Cricetulus griseus: one gene and its partners. The protein of the gene in region 1 binds, or shares a complex with, the protein of each later gene. Links are inferred from orthologs where the notes say so. Each region holds a gene or a part of one and is shown in the gene's direction. Other genes may lie near its edges.

Region 1 (4,032 bases):
AAACCACCACAGGAGGTAAGATCAGAGGAGGGACTCCTACAGACAGGCACTTGCATGTATCCTTACACTTTGGACTGACTCCCCTCAGTGGCACCAATTATTTTCCTAATGTCCCAGGTACTCAGGCTCTGCCCATTCATTACCACCGAGAATGAGAGAGTTGTCTGAAAGTAGTGGTTCAGGACTTTAATCCCGGTACTCAGGAGACAGAGGCAGTCAGATGGTCAGATCTCTGTGAGTTAGAGATCAGTGTGGTCTACAGACAAGTTCTGGGATAGCCAGAGCTACACAGTGAAACCCTGTCTCAAAACAAAACAAAACCAACCACCGAAAGAATGAGAGGGTTGTTGTCACCTGAAAGTTAATGACAAGGGCTCCTCCCCATACCAAAAACCAAAACAAACCCCACAAAAACCCCCAGGGTCTGGTCAGGAGCTCAGAGAGAGAGATTTGCCCACCAGAGTGCTGGGACCAAATGCACCCACCATTGCTCCCAGATCTAGATATGTTTTTCCAAAAACGTATTGTGTCTCTATCCCCTTACTCTGCGTTTGTGGCTTCTATAACCAGGGTGTCCCAGGCGCAGCCCAGTTTTGCAGCCCATGCAGTGGGTTCAGTGGTCAGACAGACTTGGTGGGGGCCTCGCTAGTTTGCTGGAAACTTGCCTTTCCAAGTCAGGGTCAGCACAGGTTCCCAGGCAGGAATTAGAGATGACCTGCGGACTCTGAGGACAAGCTCGGGCGGGACAGAATGGGAGGTATGGCGAGCATCTGGTTTTCCAGTGCTGGCCATGCTGGTACACGCCTTTAATTCTAGACTGAGACAACCTGGTTTATATATCAAATTTCAGGCCGGCCAGGGCTCACAGTGAACCACCCCACCCCCCAAAGAGGAAAAAGATACATAGACATTTCTTTTTGTTGTTGTTTTGTTTTTTGAGTCAGGGTTCCTCTGTATAACAGCCCTGGCGGTCCTGTCGCTCTGCACACCCGGCTGGTCTCGAACTCTCAGAGATCCGCCTGCCTCTGGCTCCCCAGGGCGGCGTTAAAGGCGTGGCCTACGCGCCCAGTTCCCTCTCGAGAACTCTTAAGCTGTGACGGCCAAGTATCGCGACATTTTCTCGATGGTGGTCTCGCGCAGCGGATCGCCGGGGCTGCCCGCTACGCAGCCTAAGGTGGAAGTCGCGTTTCCAGGCGGAAGACAGAACAGAGCTCGCTGAGCGGGAAGGGGAGGGCTTTCCGTTGTTCCGCGCAGACGCTTTGCGTGCGCAGGAGTGGGAGGAGCTCTTTTCGGCTTCGGCGCAGGCGCAGCGGTTCCCGGGCGACGGCGGCAGCATGGACGACGAGGAGGAGACCTACCGGCTGTGGAAGATCCGCAAGACCATCATGCAGGCGAGTGACCGGCCGGCCTCCAGCCCGCACCCTGCCTCGGGAGGGCTGCTGCGCGCTCACACCGCGCTTATGGGGGCCGGAGGGAGAGACTCGGGGTTCTCTGCGCGCTCACACCGCGCTTATGGGGACCGGAGGAGGGAAACTCTGGGTTCTCTGCGCGCTCACACCGCGTTTATGGGGGCCGGAGGGAGAGACTCGGGGTTCTCTGCGTGCTCACACCGTGTTTATGGGGGGCCGGAGGGAGAGACTCTGGGTTCTCTGCGTGCTCACACCGCGCTTATGGGGGCCGGAGGAGGGAAACTCGGGGTTCTCTGCGCGCTCACACCGCGCTTATGGGGGGCTGGAGGGAGAGACTCGGGGTTCTCTGCGCGCTCACATCGCGCTTATGGGGGCCGGAGGGAGAGACTCGGGGTTCTCTGCGCGCTCACACCGCGCTTATGGGGGGCTGGAGGGAGAAACTCGGGGTTCTCTGCGCGCTCACACCGCGCTTATGGGAGCCGGAGGGAGAGACTCGGGGTTCTCTGCGTGCTCACACCGTGTTTATGGGGGGCCGGAGGGAGAGACTCTGGGTTCTCTGCCTGCGGGGCAGCCCTCCACCCACTTAGCCCAGGCCCCAGCATCCACACGGCAGCTCACAACCATCTGTAACCCTGGTTTGAGCGGGTCTGACGCACTTTTCTCGACTGTTTCACACAGAGTGAAAAACAATATTTGAAAAAAACAAAAAACAGTTTTGCCCCGGCGTAGTGACAGAGAGAAGCCTTTAACGACAGCACTGGGGAGGCACAGGCAGGTGATCTCTGTAAGTTCGAAGCTAGCCTGATCTACATTAGCGAGTTCCAGGACAGTCAGGGCTTTGTAGAGAAGCCTTGTCTTAAGAAACCAAAATAAAGAAAAGGTAAAAATACTAATCTGGTAGCACATACCTTTCATCCCATCACTCTTGGGCCCGAGGCCAGTCAGTCTCTTGAGTTCAAGACCAGCCTGGCCTATTTGAAAGTTTGAAGTCACTCAGGGCTTCATTGTGAGACCCTGTCCCAAGAAACTTAGGTTGGCTGGGAAGTGGTGGTCCACACCTTTAATCCCAGCACTCAGAGGGCTGAGGCAGGCGGATCTCTGTGAGTTCAAGACCAACCTGTTCTACAGAGGGAGTTCTAGGACATCAGGGCTACACAGAGAAACCCTGTCTCTGAACAACAAAAGACAAAAAGAAGGAGACGAAGAGGGAAGAGACAGACCAGACCCCAGTTGAGAAAGAGGCCTGCATAGTTTTAATTTTTGCGTTGGGTGGACCCCAGGGCCTGGTCTCTCAGGCCTGCCCCTCAACCCGATGCTGGATTACACTCTACTCTTCCCTCATCACGCCTAAGACCAAACAGGAAGAGTGGGTGGGGGCACTGAGAGGTGGAAGTTGCCAGGGGATCTACCCTAGCCTGCCCAGTGAGGCTGGGGTGGGGTGGGGCCTGGTTGGGGACCAGACTGTGGCTTGGCCAGTACTGCTGGGTCACTTAAGTGCTCCTCCTCATGCTATCCCCGAGCAGCCCAGGCTGTTCAGGGATAGGTCTGGCACTGTAGTCCCGGAGTTCATGCTGAGTGTTCATTTCCTCTCTAAAGACAGGTGATTCTTTGTCTCTGCAGCTGTGTCATGACCGTGGCTACCTGGTGACCCAGGATGAGCTGGACCAGACACTTGAGGAGTTCAAGGCTCAGTTTGGGGACAAACCCAGTGAAGGAAGACCCAGGCGCACAGACCTGACAGTGCTGGTGGCCCACAACGATGATCCCACAGACCAGATGTTTGTGTTCTTCCCAGGTGAGGCCCCTTGGACCAGTAACAGAGGCCTGATTCTGGGGTCCCATAATTCTGGTGGCATTCCCCAGTCCCTGGCTCAGGTGCCAGTTAAGGTAACATGTCACAGCCCTCCCTCTGTGGTCTTCCTGCTCTCTGTCCAGCCAGTGAGGGTGGGTACCACCCAGGCCCAGCCTTGCCTGCAGGACTACTGTAGTCGCCAGCCTGCTTTTGTCCCTGCCTCCCCTGGAAACCTTCCCTTGTTTGGTTGGTGTCCATTCTCTGCCCCTTGAGTCCCAGCACCAGCTCTTGGGCCCTCTGGCTCCCATCTGCTGTGTTGTGTAGTTTCTGCCTTACAGCCCAGGCACTTCTGAAAGTGGGAGGGGTGCTATTAAAGAGCCTGAGCCCTTCTTGTGCAGCTGCCTCCTGGTCTCCCCAGACAGTCTGTTGCCTTCAATACCTTTGAGGTCCTGGGGCCTGTGAGAATTAGGGGTGCAGGGATAGGCGTGGCATCATATGCCCATAACCCCAGAACCTGGCAGACACAGACGAGGCAGGTGGTCAAGAACAGCCTGGTCTATACAGTGAGTGCTAGGACAGCTATGTAGAGCAGTGGTTCTCAACCTTCCTAATGCTGTGACCCTTTATAAAAACAGTTCCTCACGTTGTGGTGACCCCCAACCCTAACATTCCTATCTGTAATTTTGCTGTTTGGAGTCATAATGTAAATACTCATGTTTTCCTATGGTCTCAAAGGGTCAGGACCAATGGGTTGAGAACACTGATGCAAGAAGTCCCTGTCTCAAAAAGAAAAAATATACTGGGAGTGTTGAGTCTGAGATCCAGCAGTTT
Region 2 (4,106 bases), on another chromosome or scaffold:
CCATGCACCAAGCAAGCCATGTCCTAGATGCCAGGAAGTAGGCCATTGGTCAGTGGTCTGTCCCCGTGTCCCAGGTGACAAGAGGACATCAAACACAGACGGCCTTCCAGTTGATCTCTTAGCCCTGGCTATGGATGAGGACTATGAATGACAGGGCCCAGGCTCTCTTGACCCGACCACCATCATCTCTGAAAGGGAGCCCCGGGTGGACATTAAAGTATCAGGGCGGTTTATCTCTTTCCTTTTGGACACTGGTGCCACATACTCAGTCCTAAAGGAGTTTTGGGGACCCACCTCTCTGTCTCGTCTTCCTATTGTCAGGGTAGGAGGACAGCCTTACTTACCTCAGCAGACTCCACCGCTTAGCTGTATTTTTAGGGGGATTCCCCTTACTCATTCATTTTTGGTTATACCGACTTGTCCTGTGCCTTTACTAGGGAGGGACCTTCTAGCTAAGGTAGGAGCTTCTATTTCTTTTGCTCCCCACATTCGCCCAACTCCAGACTCGCCAGCGGCTCCCCTCCTCCTCCTCCTAGCTACTCACCCTACAGGTTCCAGTACGTCATTTCCTTTACCAGCCTCTCAGGTAGACCCCAAGGTCTACCAGAACCCTTCTGTGGCTAGACACCATCCCCCCTTGTCATTCAGTTACAGGACCCCTCTAGGTACGTTGCTCAAGTTCAGTACCCACTCCCACTCCAGAGCCTTAAGGGACTTAAACCTATTATCTCTGACCTCCTAAGGAAAAAGCTACTTCGTCCTACCTCCTCCCCCTTTAACACCCCTATACTGGCAGTAAAAAAACCTAATGGGACTTTTTGTCTGGTTCAGGACCTCCGTAACTCTATGGTAGTGCCCCTCCATCCTGTGGTTCCTAACCCTTACACACTCCTCTCTACTATCCCCCCGACATCTCACTTCTCAGTTTTAGACCTTAAGGATGCCTTTTTCTCTATACCCCTCCACACCTGGTCTCAAAATATCTTTGCTTTCACCTGGACTGATCCAGATACTCATGTCTCCACTCAGCTCACCTGAACCTTTTAATAATAATAATAATAATAATAATTATTATTATTATTATTATTATTATTATTATTATTATTATTATTATACATCGGATCCGCTAGGGGACGACACAGAGCCTTCATAAACTCCGCAACCAGGCAATTGTGCCTTTAGTTCAAACCAGTTTGCGCATGCCCATAACTATGTCTAGTCTCCCACCCATACTCCCCCAACCGCCCTCTACTGCGCAGGGGTGAGTGTGCGTACTCCATTGGTCGGGATGCCGGAAGGGGCGGGTCCACTGAGAGCTCGCACGCCGGATCAGGGCTTCCTGTCCTCGGTTCCGTCCCGGCGGCTCACCGGCGTGCATCCCCGTGGGCTCACCGGCGTGCGACCCGGCGTGGAGATGCCCCGAAGTGGGGTACGAGCAGACTATCGCGCCGCGCCGGTGCCCCCCTACAAGTCGGATGCACGCACGGAGGCCCTTAACAGCAAGGTGCGGTGGGTGGCCGGGGAGCGCCTTCCGGCTGGGGTTCCCGGCGGCGCCCGGCAGCCCGGCGGCGTGCTCCTCGCTTCCGTAGTCGGTTCTTGGCACCCGCCTCAGGCTGCCCCTCCTTCCTGCAGACTTGCAGAGAGGGAGGCACAGAAGCTTGTCCCCCAAAAAGGGGGGGGGGGAGAGACACTGGCGGAGGTTTGGTGGGGCTGTCCCCTTACCGTCCCCCTTCCCTTCACGCGGATCTGTTGCTCTGTGGATCTGCTTCACCCTGTTAGCTACGCACCCGCCTGGGGGCCATCCTTGACATCCATCCCGAAAGTTTAGAAATCTGCCAGTGTCCTTCCAGACGCTGTCACTGGCTGTTCTGACTCAGGGTGTCCCCAGCTGCCTGTGTCCTCCACTGTGATCCTAAAATACATTTATCTGATGGTCTCTAAGTAGGACTCTTGCAAGTTAATCTTTGTCTGCCTCCCTCCCCTTTTCTCTTCCTTCCTTCCTTCCTTTCTTCCTTCCTTCCTTCCTTCCTTCCTTCCTTCCTTCCTTCCTTCCTTCCTCCCTCTCTCCCTCCCTCCCTTTCTTCCTTCCTTTCTTCCTTCCTGAGCTTTCGTGTCTCTCAGGCCAGGCGCAAACACTGTTGTTTGAGAGGGGAGCATGACCTTATTCTCTTGCCTGACAGCCATGATTTCAGGGTTGCACCACCTTGCTGAACTATACCATTAATCTTAACTTCCAATTACAGACAGTCTTTAAACATGTATAGTGGAGAGTATTAAACGTTTTAAATTCTACATTTTTTTTTTTCTGTCCCAAGTGACATCTTGGGTTAGTGACCTTATTCCCACTGTATCACAGTTTTCTTTGGTGTCAGCTAAAGTGAGATGTCTACCTGTCTTTCCTAAAATGAACATAAAACACCATACAAGCAGACTTGAGTCTCAAGGAAGATGAACTCGTGTGGCTTTGTAGTTCATCACTATAACTCTCACCTCTGCCATCGTGGAGACATAAGGATGCATACTCACTAGGGCGGGTGTGAGTTTTAAAAAAGACCTTGCTTCTTATTACTGTGTGTGATGGTGTGTGGTTACTTAAATTAGTTATTGCCTAGTTAGGCATTCATTTGATGGTCACAAACAAGCCTAGCTTAATGATAACAGCAGTATGCAGTCTTTGCCATGCAAACAGAATGATGCAAAGATGAAAAATGATGCTGTATCTCCCCAGGTAGGGCATCCAATACTATTTATCTGAATGTCTGGCTATCATCTAGTACATACATGAAAAGTAATTGTTGTTGGGGAAGGGGAGAAACACATTCATTTTCTTTTTTTAAAAAGTGTACAACAAAACTTTATAAAACTAATTAAAGGGTGGGTATTGATTTTGGTGAACAGTGGCTCACTTTGGTTAAGGTATAAGCCATGTGGTAACTGGCAGCTGGCAAGTCTAAGTCAGCTTTTCCTTCTCCAGCTGTTTTCCACGGAGTCCAGCTGGGTGTTGTTGCCCTGTAGAGTGTCCATTTAGACAGGTGGTATGTGACAGCCCCCAGTCCCATTATTCAGAATTTCCTCACCAAACATACTTTGAAAACGTCTACTTTAGGTTTTTCTTTATTTTAATAGATTAAAGAACAAAAAATTCTTGTGGATGAACTTTCTAACCTGAAGAAGAATCGGGTAAGTTACTGTTGGAATCCGGAATAGTATACAGTATATTAAAATCAGGAATTAGATCATTTATGCTAAAATTACAAAATTCTAACATACTAATTTAAAACTAAAGTATCCTAGTTTGTTTTTCATGTTTTTCTGCATGTATCAGTAAATCTCAAAGTTGACAGGATTCTTTCCCTATTACATTTTTAACAAAAAAAGAAACAATTACTTCCTTTTCCACAGCAAACTTTAATGCTCCAAGAACTTAACCTATTTAATTCCTTTTTTATGACATGTTCATAAATAAACTGCTGTCTCATGTGTAGTTTTACTGTTAAAAAAATATATCTTAAATGAAGAAATGATTTTGTTCTCTTTCAAGCATTTTAAAATGACTGACATTTTCAACATTTCTGATATTGTCATTTATGAAATATTAGAACTAAGGCAAATTAATACAAAACTTCTGGAGACCAGATTGGCAGAATGTATAAACGCTGTATGAGACTTGACCTGGAGCTTCTTTTAGAGTAACTGATGAATAAACAAACAGTCGTGAAAACACATGGGCATTTAACTGCAGTGGCAATCTGTAATAATCATGAATTGGCATTCTATCAAATGTCTGAAGTTTGACAGCAGCAAAGAACTATAGTATTGTGCCCGTGTGGTAATATAAAGAACCTTCATTGATCAGAAAAGGTCTCCATGTTGTTTTATAAGAGTAAATTATAACCCTGTGGCTGTGGTAGCCTTTGTCACTGACAGTAACATGACATAATGGCACATACTATGCAAACAGCCCTTTCTAGGTGGCAAGTATCGAGTGGCTTTGTATCTGTTTATATTTGATAAATTGCTGTTTTGAATATTACTGAAGCTCAAAAATAAGTGATAATAGGATTGTTGAGCATCACTATGCAAATCATGTCCTGATGTTGTAAATT
Region 3 (4,081 bases), about 4.3 Mb from region 1:
TCTGCTGACCCCGCCGGGTGCACCTCTGAGCCTCCTCCCGCAGCAGCTGGCCCAGCCCCACGTGGCAGAAACCGTACTTGGTGGCCATGTTTCTGCACTGTGTCCCTTTCCCGCAGCCAGGGCCGCCCACCACGAAGATGATCAGGGGAGACTTCAGGACATCTGTAGTGTTCATGGAAGACAGTGGGTACTAGTGCGTGTCTTCAGGGTGCCCTGGTCTCGAATCGAAGGATCCCAGTGCTGGGATTCTCTTGAGCCATTTGCACAGACCTCCTTGGAGCACCCTTGTAATTCCATCACCCCATTTTACAGATAATGAAAGGGAGAGGCCCTCAAACTCACGCAGCCGCACCCTGCTCAGTCCAGCATGCGGTGGTCCTGTCTAACCTACCTGCTTACGTCTACAGTCACACCTCCCCCCGTGCTGGGGTCAAGCGTCCCAGCTTGTCCTCCCCCTGCCTCAGACCCCCCTCCCCCCATGCATTCCATAGTCAGCCATGGTTCTTTCTCTCTTTCGGCTCGCTTTGGTCCTCCTAGCCAGCCTCTGTAACCCAGGGTGCATGGCCCTTGATGGTGAAGAAATGAATGTCTCTGCTACCAACCGTGGAAGTCAGTAGCCGTTTATGGTTCAAGGTTTGTGCCTGCCTTGTCCCTCTGCTTAACCAACTCCTATGCATCCCTCAGGCCCCCGTTCTCTGAGCCCTTCCTCTAGAGCTGTAATTCCGCAGGCATCCACCACTGGGGGGGAGAGGGCATGCGCAGCTGCGTTCTTGCCGCGTTAGTGTGAGCACACCCGCACGGTGGGTGGGATACCTGCTCCCACGCCCCGTCCGCCACCCGCGTAAGCCAACCACCCCACCACGTTACCCTTCTCCTGGGTCCTCAAAGTTCTGCCCACCTGGGGCAGCGTGGACTGGCACAGACCCATGTTGCCCGCATGCCGGAGTACGCGGGGGCCGGGTTCCCACCTGCCCCGACCCCTTGGCTCCGCTCGACGTCACAAGGGGCTCATTTTTGCAAGATGCCCGGAATTCCCCCCGGCACCCGGGGCACAGAAAACGGAATCCCAGCCCCCCGCCCCCCCCCCCGGAGCCCCAAGAGTCCTCTCGCGGAGCCGGCCGCGGTTGCTATGGCAACGCGGCCTCCGCACCCGCCACTGGCACGTTGGCGCATGCGCAGGAGTGCCGAGGACGCACTCGCCAGAAGACGCCACTCCCACCCTGCCCAGGATGCACCGCGGTGCCTGAGCCGTGACGTCACGAGGGGCGTGCCCACGCGCCGTGAATAAATCACTCGCGCTGGCGGCGAGAGCGCTAGTCAGAGGCTGGAGACCGCCTGAGCTAGGTGAGTGCTGAGGTAGCTCCCACCCCGGTGTGGCAGTTCTAGTTCCGGGTCAGAGTCACGTCTTCTTGAGACTTAAGGGTTTGGAGACACAAAACACAGGATCATACCAACGTAACTCCCGGGCAAGTTGCCTTCCCCGGGACCGAGGGATACCACGAAGAGCATCGGATCACGCCGCCCCGGAACCGCTTGAGCAACGGCCATGGCGACTCTAGTGAGTATGAATGAAACGGAGAGGCGGGGTGGGGGTGGCAGGACAGATCCACGGCCTCTCCTCGCCTCACAAACCCGTGCTTCCTCTGCAGAGCCCCGGCAGCCAGAACGTCACCGAGTATGTCGTCCGAGTCCCCAAGTAAGTCACCCACACCCACCACACGCTCCTCGGCCCGGTGGTGGCTCCGTGCAAGTCACAGTAACAGTCACACCGTAGTTAATGTCAGGCTCGATGACTCTGTCCTATTTTCAGACGCTCAGGCCACACACGGTGGCTGCGTTTAATCCGGGAGACAGAGGGAGGTGGATCTCTGGGAGTTTGAAGCCAGCCTGGAAGCCAGAGCGCGTTCCAGGACAGCCAGGGCTACACAGAGAAACCCTGTCTCGAAAAAAAAAAAAATTCCCAAACTTAGATGAATGCGAGGCCAAGTAGTCCACCATTAAGCCATACCCAGCCCTCTCTTATTTTGAAGACCAGTCTTACTGTGTAATGTAGTTCTAGCTGATTTGACCAGGCTGGCCTTAAACCTACCAAGACCCTCACACACCTCCGCCTCTTGCCTGCTTGATCTCCTCTTTTTCCCAAGACAGGGTTTCTCTGTATTTCTTTGGAGTCTGTCCTGGAACTTGCTCTGTAGACCAGGCTGGCCTCAAACTCACAGAGATCTGCATGCCTCTGCTCCCCCCTCTCCCTCAGGTGCTGGGATTAAAGGCACTTGCCACCACTGCCTGGTGGCCCACTTTTTCTTTTATTATCTTTATGTGTAAGAATGTTTTGTCTGAGTCGGGTGTTGATGGCACACGCCTTTGATCCCAGCACTCAGGAGGCAGAGGCAGGCGGATCTCTGTGAGTTCGAGGCCAGCCTGGTCTCCAGAGCTAGTGCCAGGATAGGCTCCAAAGCTACAAAGAGAAACCCTGTCTCAAAAAAAAAAAATGTTTTGTCTGCATGTATAGTTATGCACTGTGAGCATGCTGGGGCTTCTGGGTGTGGCTAACTTCTGATAGGGTTGGAGGAGATGGATCCATTTTATTTTATTTATTTATTTATTTATTTATTTTTGATCTAGCTTCTTAAACAAACTCTGGAGCAGTGGTTCTCATCCTGTGGGTTGTAACCCCTTAGGTTCAAATGACCCTTTCACAGGGTCTAAGACCATTGGACCATTGGTCTAATTAGACCAATGGTCTAAGCCTAAGACCATTAGAAAACACAGATATTTACATTATGATTCATAACAGTAGCAAAATTAGGAAGTAGTAACGAAAATAATTGTGTGGTTGGGGATCACCCCAACATGAGGAACTGTTTTAAAGGGTGCAGCTTTAGGAAGGTTGAAAACCACTGCTCTGGAGCTTTTATGAGTTCCCAGAATTACCTACAACCAAGGGGTGTAATCATGGTGGATTTTTTGAATGACTAATCAGTAGACTGAATTTTCTCTTGCCCATTCCAGGAACACAACCAAAAAGTACAACATAATGGCTTTTAATGCAGCTGATAAAGTCAACTTTGCTACCTGGAACCAGGTAAGTCTATAATTCTGGGTGGCTGGGGCAGAGGCCTAACTGGGTGGTGGTTACAGTCATCACTTTCTTGAAGTGGTGGCGGCTACACTTACAACCCTGGCAGATGTGTGGTTCCAACCATTTGGAGGTGTGGTCTGACTACATAAATCCTGTCTCAAAAAAAAGCAAGCCTGGGTTGTGGCTGGTTAATGGAGCATCAACTAGCATATAGCAGGCCAAGTAGGACCCCATGTGTGCTGGACTTGGTAGCACGTGTCTATCATCCCAACACAGGCATGCGGTATAGGTTCTTAAATTGAAGACTATCCTTGGCTATGAAGTGAGCTCAAGTGAAGACTAGGATACCTGGACCATGCTTTAACAAAGACAAAGTATGGCGGGCGCTGGTGGCACACACACTTTTAATCCTAATCCCAGCACTAGGTGTCAGAGGCAGGTGGATCTCTGTGAGTTTGAGGCCAGCCTGGTCTACAGGGAAACCCTGTCTTGAAAAACCAAAAAATAAATAAGGAAATTTTAAAGGCCAAAGTTTTAAACTGTCCACTATTCTGGGTGCCATGTTAAAATGCTATATCTCCATATTGTCTGGTTGCATCTGAGCTATCCCCTGGTGGACACCGCCTGTCTCTGTGGTCTTTCTAAGGGCCCCATTCCCTGGAGTCCCTTTTGTGTGTGACATTTCGTGTGTGCACATGCACTTGTGGGCATGTGGTGCATCTCAGGGCCAGAGGTTGACAACAGGTGTCTTCTTTAGTTACTTTGCACATTATTATTTGGATGACATATGTTAGGCCACAGATGAGTGTGGGACACAATTTGGAGATCAGAGAACAGCTTTCAGGGGTCAGTTTTCACCTGCCTGGGTCTTGAAGTCTAAGGCTTCGCAGGCAACACTCTCTCACAGACTTTCCTCATGAGTTTCTGAGTCAGGGTATCCCACTGAACCTGGGCTTGCTGACCAGTGAGTTCCAGGTACCCTCCTGTCTGTTCCTGCCT
Region 4 (4,253 bases), on another chromosome or scaffold:
TTACCATTATGCCCAGACCTATTAACTATGAGTATATAACCACAATGGAATGGGAATATAGCAAGGTATAGGAGCAGGCTTGTTAAGTGACTGAGCAACAAACATGTCCTGGAGAAAATCCTGCACATGAACTAGAAACATAAGGATAGAATTGTTATTGCTCTTTTTTTCTTTGTAAAAGCATAACTCCAAGTTGAGAAAAAAAATCAATAGTGCAAATTATGTGAACAGACCAGGTAATTTGTTTTTAGCACATTCATTTTAAGTTCTATATATCTTCAAGGATGAATTTAAAAACATCAATGAATAAAAGTTCATCCCCACAATGTAACTGCAAATAGTACCACTTAGAAATACATTCTTGGATGCCGGGAGGTGGCTATGAGTGGGAGTACATGAAGCTTTCTGGAGTATGGTGATGTTCCACTTTTCAGCCTGAGTTGTTACGGGGCTTTACTACGAAGCCCACTGTCTTCTGGCTCCAAATGATCCTGTCTAAGCTCTGGGATTACAGGCATTTACCAACCTACCAAGCTTAAAGAAAATGTTTTCTCTCATGCCTCCTGATCTGAGGTCCTAGGCTAGGGGTTTCCTCTAGGACTTCATAATCCTGCATCCTGCTTGGTCCTTTCCTTCCCATAGCTGGAAAATGATGTCCTTGCTCTCAGATCATTTCTCCAGGAATTGGTTCTCACCATTCCATTCTGACTCCTAAGTCTAGCATTTTCACTCTCTTCACTTACTAGAGCAGTGGTTCTCAACCTTCTTGATGCTGTGACCCTTTAGACAGCTCTGGATATTCATGTGGGTGTTTCTGCATGGGCATGAACTCATGTGGAGACTGATAGTGAAGGGACCAGCTTCCCTTTCAGCAGCCATAACAGCCGAACACATGCTTGCCATAACCTTGTCTTGGTCACTTAGAGGTCAGATGCCTGCCTAGTGACAAGGAACCAATCAGAAGTTAGTCACTAGAAAGTCAGATGCCTGCCTCGAGACAAGGAACCAATCAGAAGTTAGCTGGTGGCGCTATACTTTATGACCCAGGGTGTGCTTTATGGATAAGCACTCAGCAATGACGCACAAAGCATAGCAACCACCCTGGGAGGGCCTATGGGCCATAACAACCAGTTGGCCAATCAACACAGGGCAAGCCCTCCAAGGCTGGAGGCACACCAATAGTGAGCCTGTGCATACCCCTAGACACTCCCCTTACGCTGCCCTGTAAGATCTCTTGGGAGACCCTAGGAGCTGTCTTTTGCGAGCCATCTGCCACGGCGGGTGGGTAAAAGACCCGAGCTAACATGGGGTTAGCTTGTTAAATTACAATAAAGCCTCATGCAGTTTGCATCAAGCTCTCGAATCCGCCTGGTGATTGGGGTGACCGAGAATGTGGCCTGGGACCCCGGATACCTGAGTTTTCCGGGGGGTCTAACATTTGGGGGCTCGTCCGCGATTTGCGACCACCCTTCACCTGAATGGATTCGATCTTGGAGGTAAGATGATTCGAGCTCGCAACTTATATGTTCAATGTTATATGTTTGCTTGTTTTTGTTGGTTTGGTGCCACTTGAAATTGCTCTTTTGTTGATCTGAGCCTGCGCAGGACTCGTGATTTGTAATTTGGACTTCAGGGGGAAATAGACATATTTCAAAGTCCCGTCCTGGACAAAAGTCCGAGGGCTATTTGAATTGAACCATAGGGTAAGCAGACGTGCACAGAAATAGACGTATTTCTGGAATCCTTGGTTCCGCCCTGGATGAAGTCCAAGGGTTGTTTGTAATTTTGGTTTGGGGCACCATTTCTTTGCCACAGGGTTTGTCCTGTCTGATGTCCTGTTTTGCTGTTGGTGTCTGTTAAGCCTAGAGGATTGGAATGGGCTGGGTGACTGAACAGTTGAGCAACAGGTTTGTTATCTGTTATCTGATCTGTTGCAGCCCACACCCTAACCGTCTGCTTGTGTGTCAATTTTACTATTTCTGTTAATTTTGTGGATATGGAGGTCCTATGTTGGGGTTTCTGGCGACATCTGTGAGTAGGCCTACAAGAATTGTTTAAGGCGGAAGTTCGGGCGGCAGCCTTCCGAAATCTATAGGGGAGACTTGGTTTCGAACCAAGTTGATCTCCACGGGGCTAGCCATCTGAAATTCCGAATAGGACCCTAGTCTGTGTTAAACATCTCTTTCTGTCCCTACTGCCCATGCACATGGAATGCATGGGTCAGGGGTCTTTTCTTGATGCTCTGAGCACATGATGCCACCTCAACTGTGATCAGCAGATGCGCCCGGAGGACAGACTGCTGCTCTGAGGACACCCAGGAGGTACGAACGGAGGCCAAGGACTTGGATCCTCCTCAGTTAGTGATGATTGTAGCCGCTGGGTTCTGCAGCCCATCTTCCGTCGCCATTGCCTTATAAGCGGCGCGGGCGGATTGGGTTGGCGTCTGTTCTTTCCTGTCTATTCTGTGTTATCATCATTGGTTTTCAATTCAGGATCCACCACACCACCCCCTTTCTATCCCCACCTGCGGGTCTGTGAGGCATGCCAAGTGGGGCTGTTTCTGCCCCAGCTGCCATCCTGCCTGCCAAGGGAGTTTCCCTGCTCTGAGGGAACATGGCTGCAAGGCCCGCCATCTGCCTGGCTGCTCGGCCTTCTCTGTGCTCCACACACATGGTATGCAGGGGGACCGAGGGGGTCTTTATCCCATTATCCCACCCCTGCATTGGCCAAGGGTCTGGGGTTACCACCAACACCCCCACCCCAGGTCTCTGCCTTGAGCACATGGAGCTGGGGCGTATGAACTTATCTGGCCTGATCCGGACTTCTAAAAAAAAAAAAAGGCCTTAAAGTTATTAAAAGTTATTAAAAACTGTAAAAGGGACTTTGATAAAAATTTTTACATTGACTGAGAAATGAGAGAAAATGTAGGAGACTTAAATAATAAAGAGAAAAAGGAAAAAGAAAAATTTGTCTAAGAATGTCTAAGAAAATCAGAGGAAAGAACTATAAAAAGTTATAGAAAGTTAAAGCAAGTCATAGAAGGTCAGAAAAGAGATTATTAAAAGAGAAAAATGTAAACTGTTTGCTATGGTTTCTCATGTCAACAAATAGTAAATTTTAAAAATGGTAATATAAGTTAAAATTTTAACCATATTAAGCTAATTCTGTTTTTAAAAAGTCCTGTTTATTTCTCAAGTAATTTATGTATACTTGTTTTAAAATGTTCTTTTTCCTGGTATAACCTAAGTTCTGTTACAAGCATGTTAAGCAAAGGGTGCAAGTTATGGCCATTTTGTAACCAGCCACATGGCAAACTGGTCACATGGCTGACTGGCAGCCATTTTGCTGAAGTTGAAAAAAGATACTTAAACCGCCATCCTGACTAAAGATGACCGCGTGGAAATTAGAGGTTCCATCTTAGAAACAAGCTTTTCAGTTAAGATTTAAAGTGTTAATGCTTCTATATATTACAGAAAGATATTAAGGGAATTTAAATTTCTTTTTAAAACCAGTTTTTTAAATGTTTATTTTTATTAATGTTTGTACTTAAAGAGCTTCAATTTAAAATTATTTTTAAGCAAAGCCTGACAATGTAAAATTCTTGTTTTATAAAAGCTGCTAATCTATTATAAGATGTTTATCTTTTCAGAAGTTAAGTTTAGGGTGTTGGTGGCACACGCCTTTAATCCCAGCACTCCAGAGGCAGAGGCAGATGGATCTTTTTGAGTTCAAGGCCTGCCTGGTCCAGCATATTGAATTCCAGGACAGGGTCCAAAGCCACAGAAAAACCCTGTCTCATTTGAGCAAGCAGCTAAAATGTGTACTTGTAGCTACTGTTTAAGGACTATAATGTAACCCTATGCAGTCTTAAATTCAGCTGTGCTAAGTTTCAAATATTTTACTAAGTTAAAACCAGTTACAGTCAGGCTGAAAATTAATTACAGAAATGAGACCTCACCTAGCCACCTGTATGTTTCTTGTGTGCTTAAGGTGAAAGACCCCTGCCCCTTAGCCCTTTCTTTCTCAAGTTTGTCTCCTCTTCCTCCTGTCGGCGGCTTCCCCGATCCCCACCCCCGGCGGCTTCCACTTCCCCCGCCACCAGCCGCACGCCCAGCCCGAGAACGAGCACCAGGTGGGCTGGCCCGAGAACGAGCACCAGATGGGCTGGCCCGAGAACGAGCACCAGGTGGGCCGGCACGAGGGCAAACACCAAGTGAGCCGGCCTGGAGCCCGGCCCCTGAGCCCCCGCCCGA
Region 5 (3,500 bases), on another chromosome or scaffold:
TGCCCCTACTTCCTGGCTCGATACTCGGTGAAGAGTTGTTTTGTTTTCTTCTGGGGCAGGGTCTCACTTATAACCCAGGCTGGCCTCAAACTTAGAAGAACCTTACGCAGGTTCCCAGCTATGGGGGTTATAGGCATGAGCCACTTTTGCCCACCCCTCCGTTAGCCCATCTGTCTGCTTGCATCTTTGTTGACCTGGTACCTAGGTCTTCCTGTCTCCAGCCTCTGTTTATGCCTTGCCTGGGTGGTCCCATCTGTCTTTTCCATCCACCTGCTGTCTGTCTTGGTGTTACGTCTGTACACCTGGGAAGGAGTGGTATGGCGGGGGCAGCAGGGCCCAAGGCAAAAACTTATCCCTCCATGTTCCTAGATCCTGCATGCCAACGTGGTGGTTTACAGCTACCACTATCTCCTGGACCCCAAGATCGCAGACCTGGTGTCCAAAGAGCTGGCCCGCAAGGCCGTCGTGGTCTTCGATGAAGCCCACAACATTGGTGAGGAGGGTGCCAGGGTGTGCAGACAGCGGCGGCCTCTCTGCCCCGCCCCCAAGCCGGCTGAGCCCATGTCTGTCTGCTTTCCTCCTAGACAATGTCTGCATCGACTCCATGAGTGTAAACCTCACCCGCAGGACTCTGGACCGCTGCCAGAGCAACTTGGACACCTTGCAGAAGACGGTGCTCAGGTGCCCACTCTGCTCCCTGTGTGCCGCCTGCCTCCGTGGCCCTGGACACCTGCCCCATTCCAGCTCTGTCCCATGTCCCCGCCAGGATCAAGGAGACAGACGAGCAGCGGCTGCGGGACGAGTACCGGCGCCTGGTGGAGGGGCTGCGGGAGGCCAGCGCGGCGCGGGAGACAGACGCGCACCTGGCGAACCCTGTGCTGCCGGACGAGGTGCTGCAGGGTGAGCCGTGCCCCACCCCCCACCCTCACACGCCTTCCTTCCCGTGCCAGCTGACTCAGTCTCCCTGCAGAGGCCGTGCCAGGCTCCATCCGCACTGCCGAGCACTTCCTGGGCTTCCTGCGGCGGCTGCTGGAGTACGTCAAGTGGCGGCTGCGCGTGCAGCATGTGGTACAGGAGAGCCCTCCTGCCTTCCTGAGCGGCCTGGCTCAGCGCGTGTGCATCCAACGCAAGCCCCTCAGGTGCGCATGCTGCCATGGGGACCTCAGGTCCAGACCTGTGGCTGGTGACGGGGTCAGGGGTCAGGTCAGAGTCGGATGTGGAGCGAGCCGTGTCACTGTGAGGTCAGCTCTTGGCTGTGACCGCTGCAGGACTACCTGGTACTTCTGCAGCCCTATGCGTGTGCATATGCGAGCCTGGGAAAGTGTGTGGCTGTTCTTTCTGAGCGTGGGGCCCACGACACTGGCTGCACAGCACAGTGACTGATGGCCATGGGTCTTGTTTGACAAGAATTTGCATACAAGCGGCAAACCTGGGCGCCGTGTGCGTGTGCTAGTGCTGTGCGGTAGCTGTGGATGTTTGCAGTGTGGGGACAGCTTGGCCACAGACGATGCCCAGGTAAACAGGTGGCGAGAGTCCCAGCCATTGCTGCTTCCCTCCCTCTCCCGACCCCATGGCTTCTCAGGTTCTGTGCTGAGCGCCTGCGCTCCCTCCTGCACACCTTGGAGATTGCTGACCTGGCTGACTTCTCCCCGCTCACACTCCTTGCTAACTTCGCCACTCTCGTCAGCACTTACGCCAAGGGTAAGCTCCCCTCTTGCTCCTCCTGGCAGCGGACTTGGGGGCCTAGCTAAGTCGGGTGGGGTATTAGCAGGAAGTCTGGGCATGTGAGACAGGGGATTTGAGCTACTATGAGGGCCCTGGGGAACAAGCGAGTGAGCGAGCCTCGTGTTCAGATTCGTGTGTCTAGAGGCTCCTCCTGGCTGCAGGGGGAGAACTCGAGTGAGCTGTGATACTGAGCAGAGGGATGCTGTGCGGTCAGCCCACCTTTGGCTGGGGGAGAAGTCCTCATGTGTGCCTGAGGGCACCGGGAGCCATGGCAGGGTCTGGGCAAGGGATGTACTTGGTGAGGTTGTTGTTTTCAAGGTTCATCCAACAGAGAGGGGGAGCCATAGACTGTGGGGACAGGAAAAGGGAGCCTTGGGGAGAGCTATGGGAGAAAGCGGCCAGATGTAAAAGCCCTTGAGGGAGAGGGATGCAGGTGATGCACAGGGAGAGGGGACAAGCTACAGCTTTTGTTGCCCCCGCCCGCCCCAGCTTTGCACTGAGTTTTTAAGCTTATCCCTGGGGATTAGTACCGTAGCCAGGAAACCAGGTCAGCTGGCGTCCTGCAGCTGGCCCAGCCTTGGAAGAAGGGGCTGCTGGCAGCTGTCTGCTTCCTTCTGCCCTCACCCAGCCTCTTCTCCTGGCCTTCATTGTTCTCCCTCCGGCCCCCACCTACTGATGCATCCATCACAGTCTTACAGAAAGCCTCCTTCCCTGTGCCCCATCACCTGCCCGAGTCAAGTCCTTTACCTCTCAGAAAGTCACCCCCACTCCATTCCATCCTGGGCCTGCCCCTCCCTCTGTCCCAGCTGGGTCTCTGGCTAGCTGTCTCCCCCGTGCAAGGAGAGCCCTTTTGGGTAGGACCGAGATTCTGTTGGTTTCTGCTGGGTCCTCAGCATGATGCTGGACACAAGACCTGGTCTTTCCTTGCCAAGTGAAACAGAATCTGTGAATGTAATCATTTGTTCAGTCAACAGATGGGCCAGGCTGGGCCCCGTGGAGACAGCGGGATCTAACACAGCCAGGCTGGGCCCGGAGTCTAACACACACAGCCAGGCTGGGCCCAGCACAGCCTTAGTTGCCCCCCTCATCCTCCTGTCCATATCCCTACCCTCATCTGGGAGCCACAGCCTGGGGGCTAGGAGCAAAGATCACTCCAGAAGGGGACACTAGAAAGTGTGGCTGTGCTGTGAGGAGCAGGAGTCCTGGCTCCCAGGGTGCCTGTGGAACAAGGACCCAACCAACCAAGTGGGCCCTGGGACATGACGCTGATACCGTAGCTGGGAGCAAGGGCTGGCCCTGCAGAGTTCATGGGCACACTTCTGGGTATGGCAGGAGTGTGGAGACACCAGCCAACTTAAGGTTCCATAGCGTCTCCCCGACTGCAGTGTGGGGAGCAGGGGGGGACAGGTGGGAGTGAGGCCGGCCTGGGGGAGGGCGGGCCTGGCCTCCCTGCGGGGCCGTGCAGTGAAGCCCTGGCTCACCCTGCTTCCACACCTGAGCGTTTGTACAGTCCTGTCCTGCGCTAGCCATGGCAGGGGCAGGGGCAGGCGGGGGCTGTCGTGCACACTCACCGGCCTCCTCCTCCCCAGGCTTCACCATTATCATCGAGCCCTTTGATGACAGGACCCCGACCATTGCCAACCCCATCCTGCACTTCAGGTGAGATGCAAGCCTGTGTGGACAGGATGGCTTCGCCCCCGGCCTCTGCCCTGGGTGACGACTGTGTTATCCCACAGTTGTATGGACGCCTCCTTGGCCATCAAGCCTGTGTTTGA
Region 6 (3,500 bases), on another chromosome or scaffold:
TATCCCTCTCCTGCCTATCTATTGACTGTTCAGCTTTTTATTAGAACGGGTGCCTTCAGCAGGCAAAGTGAAACAGATGTAACACACCTTTACATAATTACATAATTAATGCAGCACAAACAAATGTAACACACCTTTACACAGTTAAATATTCCACAGCATAAATGTAACACACCTTTGCCTAGTTAAAGTAGTATTTCACAACAATAGTATATACAGTAGATTAATTTTCAGCTACAAATAGCTGCATTTTTAACTGCTTTATTTATGTTTTTATGATATAGGTGAGTGTATCCCGGCAGGATATTGAAGATGCTGAAGAGGCAGCAGCTCAGACTTGTGGGACAGATACCACGGAAGGATTGTTTAATATGGTCAGTACCTCTTTGTTCTGATGTTGATGTTTAAACTTGTTTATTTTTATCTTGTATTTTGATTCTTATCCTTAACAGAAGCATACATTGGAAGTTCACCACTTCAGAGTGTGGAAAAACTCAGCTAATAGCTTAGAGCCTTTCATAGGCTTACTTAAAGCCTTTTCAAGGCTTTGTGTTAAAACAGAACAGTGGAGAGGCTGGAAGGATAGCTGTCCTGGAAAAGTGCTTTCCTTGTCCATATAAGGACCTAAGCTTGACCCCTAGTGCCTAGAGAAAAACGTTGGGTGTGGTAGTATGTGTTCAAGTCCCAGCACTAGTGAGGCACAGACAGGAGGACCCCTGGCACAGTATTTGGACAGTCTAGGGTAATTGTTAGTGAGAGACCCTTTTCTGGAGGTGGACAGCATTCCTGAGGAAGAATAAACCAAGCAACCTGTGGCCTCCACATGCATGTATACGTGTGTCTCCTAACATACTTGTGGCAATACATAAATATGTTACAGAGTTTCCTGCCCGGTTCCAAAGCTGCCCTGGAGCCCCCAAATAAACACACAAGACTTATATTTATATTAATTATAAACTGTTGGCCGTTGGCTTGGACTTCCTATTGCCTAGCTTTGTCTTAATTATTAACCCATTTCTATCAATCTATGTATTGCCATGAGGCTGTGGCTTACCCAGTAATGCACAGCATGGTGTTACTCCTCTGGCAGCCTACATAGTAACTGACTCTTGCAACGTTTCCCAGAATCCTCCTCATCTCCTAGTTCCACCTTTCTTGCTGCCCTATTGGCCAACAGTGTTTTATTCATCAACCAATAAGATAAACATATACAGAAGACCATTCCCCATCAATACATAAATGATATTGTTTAACAAACTTGAGAATACCTCCTTAAATAAGTATGTTGTGGGTTTACAAGCTTGTGATACCTTGCCCAGTGCTGACATGTTATTTACTGACTATAAATAGTTTATGTCCAAGGCTGTAAGATTTATTTTTGGGGAGAAGAGTTTCACTTTTTTTCATTGTTTCTGCAAGTCACAAGCCTCTGTGTGGAAACAGCAAGCAAAATGTGTCCCAGTTTAGTAAGTGTTTTGCCAGTTAGGTACGTTAAAGTATTCACTCCCTAATTGGAATGTGTGATGTGGGCCTGTGGGCCTTGACTGCCCAGAGTTTGAGCTAAATTGAGGTACTCTTGAGGCCAAGCATTAGAGAACAAGAAAATTGGGGTGAAGCTAAGTGAGAGCCTGTTTTCTGGGGTGTAGCAGGAAGTAGCTGTACCTTGAGCAGCTTTCTGGAGTCTGTTCTCTTCTACCATGTAGATTCTGGAGATCAGACTCTGGTCACTAGGATTGGTGGCAAACACCTTTACTCACTGAGGATCCTCTGGCTCTCTGCCTCTTTTGACTCCTTGGCATTGGTTCTGAGGCTGTGATTGGAGAAGCTACAAGTTGTTGGCAGACAGCGCAGCAGCTGGTGACTTGACCCCAGCAATGCAGTTACACAAGTCACCAAGATCAGGATGGGAATGTGCTGTTGGCATAGCCAGTTGTGTTTGGATCTTCTGAGAGTCAAGGCTGGGGATACAGCTTAGTGCTGGCACACATGCTTATGAGCATGAGGGACCAGTCCCAGTATCCCACTCTGCCACCTGTTCTATATCCCAGACCCCCAAATAAAAAAAAGTTAAAAGAGACGGGTGTTTGTTTAAAATTCAAAAAGTGACTTTGAACCACATCTCTGAATGAGAGTCTGGGACAGTGTCTGCATTTACTCTTCTCTTTTAGAAGAAATGATAGCCTAAGCCAGTTTTCCCCAAACTCTCAAGTGACTTTTTGTTTTGTTTTGTTTGTTTGTTTTTTGGTTTTTATTTTTGTTTGTTTGTTTTTGTTGTTTTGGTTTTGGTTTTTCAAGATTGGGTTTCTTGGCCGGGCGTTTGTGGCGCACGCCTTTAATCCCAGCACTCTGGAGGCAGAGGCAGGCGGATCTCTGTGAGTTCGAGGCCAGCCTGGTCTACAGAGCAAGTGCCAGGATAGGCTCCAAAGCTACACAGAGAAACCCTGTCTCGAAAAACCAAAAAAAAAAAAAAAAAGACGGAGTTTCTCTGTGGCTTTGGAGGCTGTCCTGAAACTAGCTCTTGTAGACCAGGCTGGTCTCAAACTCACAGAGATCCGCCTGCCTCTGCCTTCTGATTACTGGGATTAAAGGCATATGCCACCACTGCCCGGCTCTCAGTGACTTTTCATAATGCCAGTTTTCACTTCCTCATAGGATGAAGATGAGGACACTGAACCTGAAAGGAAAGCTGACCTGGATCGGACTAGCCAGATGGCTCACCCCATCGCTGAGCGTCTAGACATCCTGCTCTCCTTGCTTCTGTCCTATATTGAGGATGTCTGCCGTGTAGATGGTAACAACCAGAGTAACCTAGATAGTTGGCCAGTATCTTGAGAATGAGATAAGAAAGGGTCAGACAGATCAACTTCCATGGCAGTGTCACACAGCTTGAAAATGGGGGAAATGGGATTAAGATTCCAGTATTTAACTTCAAAGATGGTTGTGTTTTCACTGATGTGTAATAGAGGGTAATAGATGGAATCTGACCAGCTTTAGAAGAGGTCCCTTGTGTTTGAGATGCTCAAGAAGTTTAAGAATGGTGGTGGCATACGCCTTTAATCCCAGCACTGGGAGGCAGAGGCAGGAGGATCTCTGTGAGTTCGAAGCCAGCCTGGTCTCCAGAGCGAGTGCCAGGATAGGCTCCAAATCTAAACCAAAAAAACAAAAAGAATGGTGTGTTGACCACCTGTATAGTTCCTTGAGAAGCCCTTGCTGGATGCCTTCATTATACCCCGTGTTGAGACTTTTTAACATCACTGAGCAAACTAATCCTCAAGAAACAGCCTAGAGCTTGCATTTCCATGCACTTTGCTGTGGTTTAAGAATGAGTTTACTCCAAAGCCACAGAGAAACCCTGTCTCGAAAAACCAAAAAAAAAAAAAAAAAAGAATGAGTTTATTAGCTGGACATAGTAGCACATGCCTTTAATCCCAGCACTTGGGAGGCAGAGGCAGGTGGATCTCTGAGTTTGAGACCAGCCTGGTCTATAGAACAAGTCTCAG
Region 7 (4,062 bases), about 90 Mb from region 1:
CCAAACAAACTGAAGGGACCAGCTCCCCATTTCGGCAGACATGACAGTAACACGTGCTTGCCATGACCTTGTCCTAGTCACTAGAAAGTCAGATGCCTGCCTGTGGCAAGGAACCAATCAGAAGTTAGCTGGTGGCGCTATGCTTTACGGCTCTGGGTGTGCTTTATGGACAAGTGCACAGCAATGGCTTGAAGAGCATGGCAACCACCCTGGGAGGGCCTATGGGCCATAACAACCAGTTGGCCAATCAACACAGGGCAAGCCCTCCAAGCCTGGAGGCACACCAATCCTGAGCCTGTGTGTACCCCTAGACACTCCCCTTATTGCTGCCCTATAAGATCTCTATGCAGACTCTTCGAGCTGTCTTTGCTATCCGAGCTCGTTAAACAATAAAGCCTTGTGCAGTTTGCAGCAAGCTTTCGAATCTGCCTGGTGATTAGGGTGACCACAGTCCTGGGCTGAGACCCTGGAGGCCTGAGGTTTTCCGGGGTTCTAACAAAACCAAACCAAAACAGGCTTAAGGGCAAGGAGTAATGATAGACCGGCTAATTTCCATGGAACTCAGACTCTTATTTTCAAGCAGTAAATTCGGAGTTTAGGAGGAATCCATTGCATCATTTATGCAGCCTTAACTATGAACTATTGTTTTTTTCCCAATGACTTTAAGGTTGCCTCCCTTTAGCTTTTACTCATTAATGCTTGTTCACATCTGTGTAATAATCTGCCCATTAACCGATCAGTCCTTCACAGAGTATTTTTCCAAACATCTCAGGCCAGTCTTCAGGGTCATCTTCCCTCGCAGCGTCCCCCTTCTCATACGACACTGCAATTCCACTATCCACCTCCATAATCAATACACGGCTGCCAATGTCCCTCTTGAGAGCGGACTCCAGGCCGATCGCCAGAACACTCCACGTTGATAAGCGAAACACGGACTCTTGCTCCAACTGTGAAGGCAGCAAGATGCTAAAAACTGTAATGAAAATAACTTTCAGAGCAGCAATCAGAATCGGCAATGCACCCCCTGGCCACACTCCGGTCTTGCGATGGGAACCTTCCAGTTTCTGGCTGGCACAGATCAAGGTGTAATCAGGGCCAAACCAAGGCGAAGGCGGAAGCTAACACCCACTTCCGGGTCAAGCCTCTTCTGGCGAGGCTCTTGGGCTCTCCCCCCAGGCCACGCCCGACGGAGGGCGGGGCTACGCAGCGCGCTACCCGAACGCCGGCCGGCTGGTTATGCGCAGGCTCACAGGAAGCGCTCGCTGAGGACTTCCGGAGAGGGTTTTCCCTGACAGCCCGCGGCGTGCGATCGGGCGAGCGTGGCGCCGGGGAGAGCTGTGTGAGCGCCCCGCGGTTCTGGGAGCGTCAGTTGCGGGCCGGGAGGTTTAGGTTACCGTGGCGGCGCCGCCGCCGCCAGTCTGAGGACTCGGGGCTCGCGTCAGGCGTCCGCAGCGTCCGTGGGGCCGACCTCACTGAATTGAGGCGTCGCTTCAGGCTTTGGCGCCCCACGGTGGAGTCGGCTTTCCTACAAGGCTTAGTGCGCGCTCGCGGGGCCGGCCGCCCCCAGGTGAGGTGGAGCAGCACCCCGGGGCTGGCCCTGCGCCCTCCCCGCGGCGCGGTGACTAACCACGCACCCTCAGCCTCCCGCGCCGCAGGGAGACGCTGCTGCCAGTCAGCAGGCTCGAGACCCGGGCCCGTCTCCAGCGTCGCGGAAAACACACACACACACACACACACACACACCAGCAGCGCCAGAGCACTCACCCTGGACCAGTCTGAAGGTGTCCGGAGCCAGGGTGGCGCCGTAGGATTGCAGAAAGGAGGGGCGTTTGGTGGAATTCTAAATCGCAGTACCCGAAGCTTCAATACCGGATAGGTACTCAGAACTGGGGTCTGCACCCTTTCGACAGTTCAATCCAAGGTCAGTGGCATATGGCTGCTTTTGTAGAGTCATTTATTTGCCATGGCCCCCTGCCCACCTCCTAGCCATTTTTTTGGTCACACCAGCTAGTCTGTGTGCTCTGCATTTGCTAGACTCCTGTCTTCACTCCTTTTGGTCATGTTACGTATTTTGTATAAGTCCTTCAGCCTTCCTTCCTTCCTTCCTTCCTTCCTTCCTTCCTTCCTTCCTTCCTTCCTTCCTCTGCCACCACCACCCAGCAAGTCCTACAGTTTTCATTACTAAGTGGGAGAGAATAGGGTTGCTGCTGCGATTAAATTAGATATTTTATAGTCTAAGTATGTAGTTAAGTCCCAGTAAATACTAGCTCCTGCTGTTACTGTACTTGCTATATTGTGTTATGTATTCTTCAGTTTCTTTATGTAGCTTTAGCTTTTTTACTTTGTAATTAAGGATGTCTCATTTTTGTATGTTCTTGGTTCAGAGCTTTGCAGTATTATGTTTTATGGATTTTAGAAACTTTTTATTTTACATGTGTGGGTGTGTGCCTGCATGTGTGTGCCTATGTTCTGTTGTGAAGGTGGTTGTATGCCCTGGGACTAGGGTTCCAGAAGATCATGAACATGGGTGCTGGGAACCAGCACAGGTCCTCTAGAAAAGCAGCAAGTGCTCTTCACTGCTGAGCCGTCTCTAGTCCCCAGACTTCTATTTTTAAAAAATGTGACTTGAGTTTAGGCTGTTGTTGACTTAAACAGATTCAGTGTTTCCTTGAAAAGAACTGTCAGATACAATGGGCCCTGCTGCTCAGGTGACTTTGCTACAAGAAAAGATTGCTTTTCAGCTCAAGTCAGGTGCCTGTGGGTTAACGTGTACTGACGCTAACTGATACTCTCAGTTTGGAATAGATATGAGCGATTTCGATGAAGAATTGACAAAGCTTGCTTTGGCAGAGGATGGCAAGAGAGAAACCTCTGTGTTCTCTAATCCAGGAATGCATTTCCCGTGGCTTCAGGAGCGAATAGAGACTGTAGGTAAGTGGGACAGCACTTTCACTTTAATGCAACTAAGTGTCGAGACTGAACACAGCTACAAAGTGAATGACCAAGCCAGGTCATTTTTCCTCCCCCTTAATTTCTGTTGTTGTTATTGTTGTTAGACAGGGTCTTGCTGTTTATCCCTGGCTTGCCTGGAACTCACTTCATGTAGCTCAGGCTGGTTTAGAACTCCTGGTTGTTCTTGCCTTAGTCTCCAGGTGCTAGGGTTACAGGTGTGAATCAGGGTGCCTAATATTGTAATAAGATTAGATGGGGGTTTCCCTTTTCTTTCTTACAGCTGGAGACAAAAAGGAAATTAGAAGAAGTAGCTTTTTTTTTTAAATTTTATTTTATTCTTTTGGTTTTTTAACACAGGGTTTCTCTGTGGCTTTGGAGGCTGTCCTGGAACTAGCTCTTGTAGACCAGGCTGGTCTCGAACTCACAGAGATCTGCCTGCCTCTGCCTCCTGAGTGCTGGGATTAAAGGCGTGCACCACCATGGCCTGGCCCTTTTTAAAAAATAATACACAGTCTATATTATGAACTACACATGTATAAATTTATATATATGAATATAGTTCTCTTTACTGAGCACTTGTATTTGGCATTGGCAGAATATTGGGGACGTACAGATGAAGAAAATGTGGTCTCATTGAGGAGCACATACATAGGAAATGTTAAGGAAATTTCTGTTGAGTTTAATGGAAATGGTTCCTTATAGCATTGATGTAATAGGTTTAAAAGGCATCTTTCTTCATTTTTAATCTAATGTAGATGCAGACAATGCTTTTAGTGGGTTAACGTCTATAGGACTATATGAAGAAGCCGTGGTGGAATGCTGCATGGGTCAGACCTTTAAATACACTTAAACCTGCACTTTTCTTATTACTCTCCATGCATTTCTTGGCTCCAAGAATTTAGCTCCCATTTAAAAAGAAAAATTCATTTAGTTTTATATTCCCAGTAATTTAGTCCTCAGTAAATGTGAGGACACTGAATTGCAAAGAAATTAAACTCGCCCCCCCTCCCCCAGGTTTCTCTGTGGCGAAATTAAACTCTTAAGTAATGATATAAGGAAGCAAATCAGGTCTGTCTGATCTCAAGTCCTGTACTTCTAAACATAAAGAGG

Evidence for each region.
Region 2: Polr2e (region 1) and Asdurf share a complex: the UniProt entries of both Homo sapiens proteins name them as parts of the PAQosome complex. The link is inferred for Cricetulus griseus from reciprocal best matches to the Homo sapiens genes POLR2E and ASDURF.
Region 3: Polr2e (region 1) and Gtf2f1 share a complex: the UniProt entries of both Homo sapiens proteins name them as parts of the TBP-based Pol II pre-initiation complex. The link is inferred for Cricetulus griseus from reciprocal best matches to the Homo sapiens genes POLR2E and GTF2F1.
Region 4: Polr2e (region 1) and Polr1h share a complex: the UniProt entries of both Homo sapiens proteins name them as parts of the pol I pre-initiation complex. The link is inferred for Cricetulus griseus from reciprocal best matches to the Homo sapiens genes POLR2E and POLR1H.
Region 5: Polr2e (region 1) and Ercc2 share a complex: the UniProt entries of both Homo sapiens proteins name them as parts of the TBP-based Pol II pre-initiation complex. The link is inferred for Cricetulus griseus from reciprocal best matches to the Homo sapiens genes POLR2E and ERCC2.
Region 6: Polr2e (region 1) and Rrn3 share a complex: the UniProt entries of both Homo sapiens proteins name them as parts of the pol I pre-initiation complex. The link is inferred for Cricetulus griseus from reciprocal best matches to the Homo sapiens genes POLR2E and RRN3.
Region 7: Polr2e (region 1) and Taf1a share a complex: the UniProt entries of both Homo sapiens proteins name them as parts of the pol I pre-initiation complex. The link is inferred for Cricetulus griseus from reciprocal best matches to the Homo sapiens genes POLR2E and TAF1A.

What each region holds. Positions count from the first base shown.
Region 1 is NC_048598.1:100,836,432-100,840,463, reverse strand, and holds the start of Polr2e (DNA-directed RNA polymerases I, II, and III subunit RPABC1), read left to right. Parts: upstream 1-1,232; 5' UTR 1,233-1,334; coding exon 1,335-1,391; intron 1,392-3,005; coding exon 3,006-3,204; intron 3,205-4,032. UniProt on the Homo sapiens protein: DNA-dependent RNA polymerase catalyzes the transcription of DNA into RNA using the four ribonucleoside triphosphates as substrates.
Region 2 is NC_048595.1:402,525,206-402,529,311, forward strand, and holds the start of Asdurf (ASNSD1 upstream open reading frame protein), read left to right. Parts: upstream 1-1,306; 5' UTR 1,307-1,414; coding exon 1,415-1,504; intron 1,505-3,126; coding exon 3,127-3,180; intron 3,181-4,106.
Region 3 is NC_048598.1:96,546,490-96,550,570, forward strand, and holds the start of Gtf2f1 (general transcription factor IIF subunit 1), read left to right. Parts: upstream 1-1,281; 5' UTR 1,282-1,546; coding exon 1,547-1,558; intron 1,559-1,643; exon of another isoform or gene 1,644-1,649; coding exon 1,650-1,696; intron 1,697-3,012; coding exon 3,013-3,085; intron 3,086-4,081. Other genes in the region: adenylate kinase isoenzyme 1-like, read right to left, coding at 1-162, 868-928. UniProt on the Homo sapiens protein: TFIIF is a general transcription initiation factor that binds to RNA polymerase II and helps to recruit it to the initiation complex in collaboration with TFIIB. It promotes transcription elongation.
Region 4 is NW_023276806.1:228,752,000-228,756,252, forward strand, and holds the start of Polr1h (DNA-directed RNA polymerase I subunit RPA12), read left to right. Parts: upstream 1-1,453; 5' UTR 1,454-1,496; intron 1,497-4,253. UniProt on the Homo sapiens protein: Core component of RNA polymerase I (Pol I), a DNA-dependent RNA polymerase which synthesizes ribosomal RNA precursors using the four ribonucleoside triphosphates as substrates. Can mediate Pol I proofreading of the nascent RNA transcript.
Region 5 is NC_048602.1:27,967,166-27,970,665, reverse strand, and holds part of Ercc2 (general transcription and DNA repair factor IIH helicase subunit XPD), read left to right. Parts: coding exon 1-27; intron 28-369; coding exon 370-493; intron 494-584; coding exon 585-681; intron 682-766; coding exon 767-900; intron 901-970; coding exon 971-1,139; intron 1,140-1,582; coding exon 1,583-1,701; intron 1,702-3,314; coding exon 3,315-3,384; intron 3,385-3,461; coding exon 3,462-3,500. UniProt on the Homo sapiens protein: ATP-dependent 5'-3' DNA helicase. Component of the general transcription and DNA repair factor IIH (TFIIH) core complex, not absolutely essential for minimal transcription in vitro.
Region 6 is NW_023276807.1:74,975,384-74,978,883, forward strand, and holds part of Rrn3 (RNA polymerase I-specific transcription initiation factor RRN3), read left to right. Parts: intron 1-284; coding exon 285-374; intron 375-2,652; coding exon 2,653-2,791; intron 2,792-3,500. UniProt on the Homo sapiens protein: Required for efficient transcription initiation by RNA polymerase I (Pol I). Required for the formation of the competent pre-initiation complex (PIC).
Region 7 is NC_048598.1:11,101,042-11,105,103, reverse strand, and holds the start of Taf1a (TATA box-binding protein-associated factor RNA polymerase I subunit A), read left to right. Parts: upstream 1-1,262; 5' UTR 1,263-1,567; exon of another isoform or gene 1,568-1,921; intron 1,922-2,795; exon of another isoform or gene 2,796-2,805; 5' UTR 2,806-2,807; coding exon 2,808-2,931; intron 2,932-4,062. UniProt on the Homo sapiens protein: Component of the transcription factor SL1/TIF-IB complex, which is involved in the assembly of the PIC (pre-initiation complex) during RNA polymerase I-dependent transcription.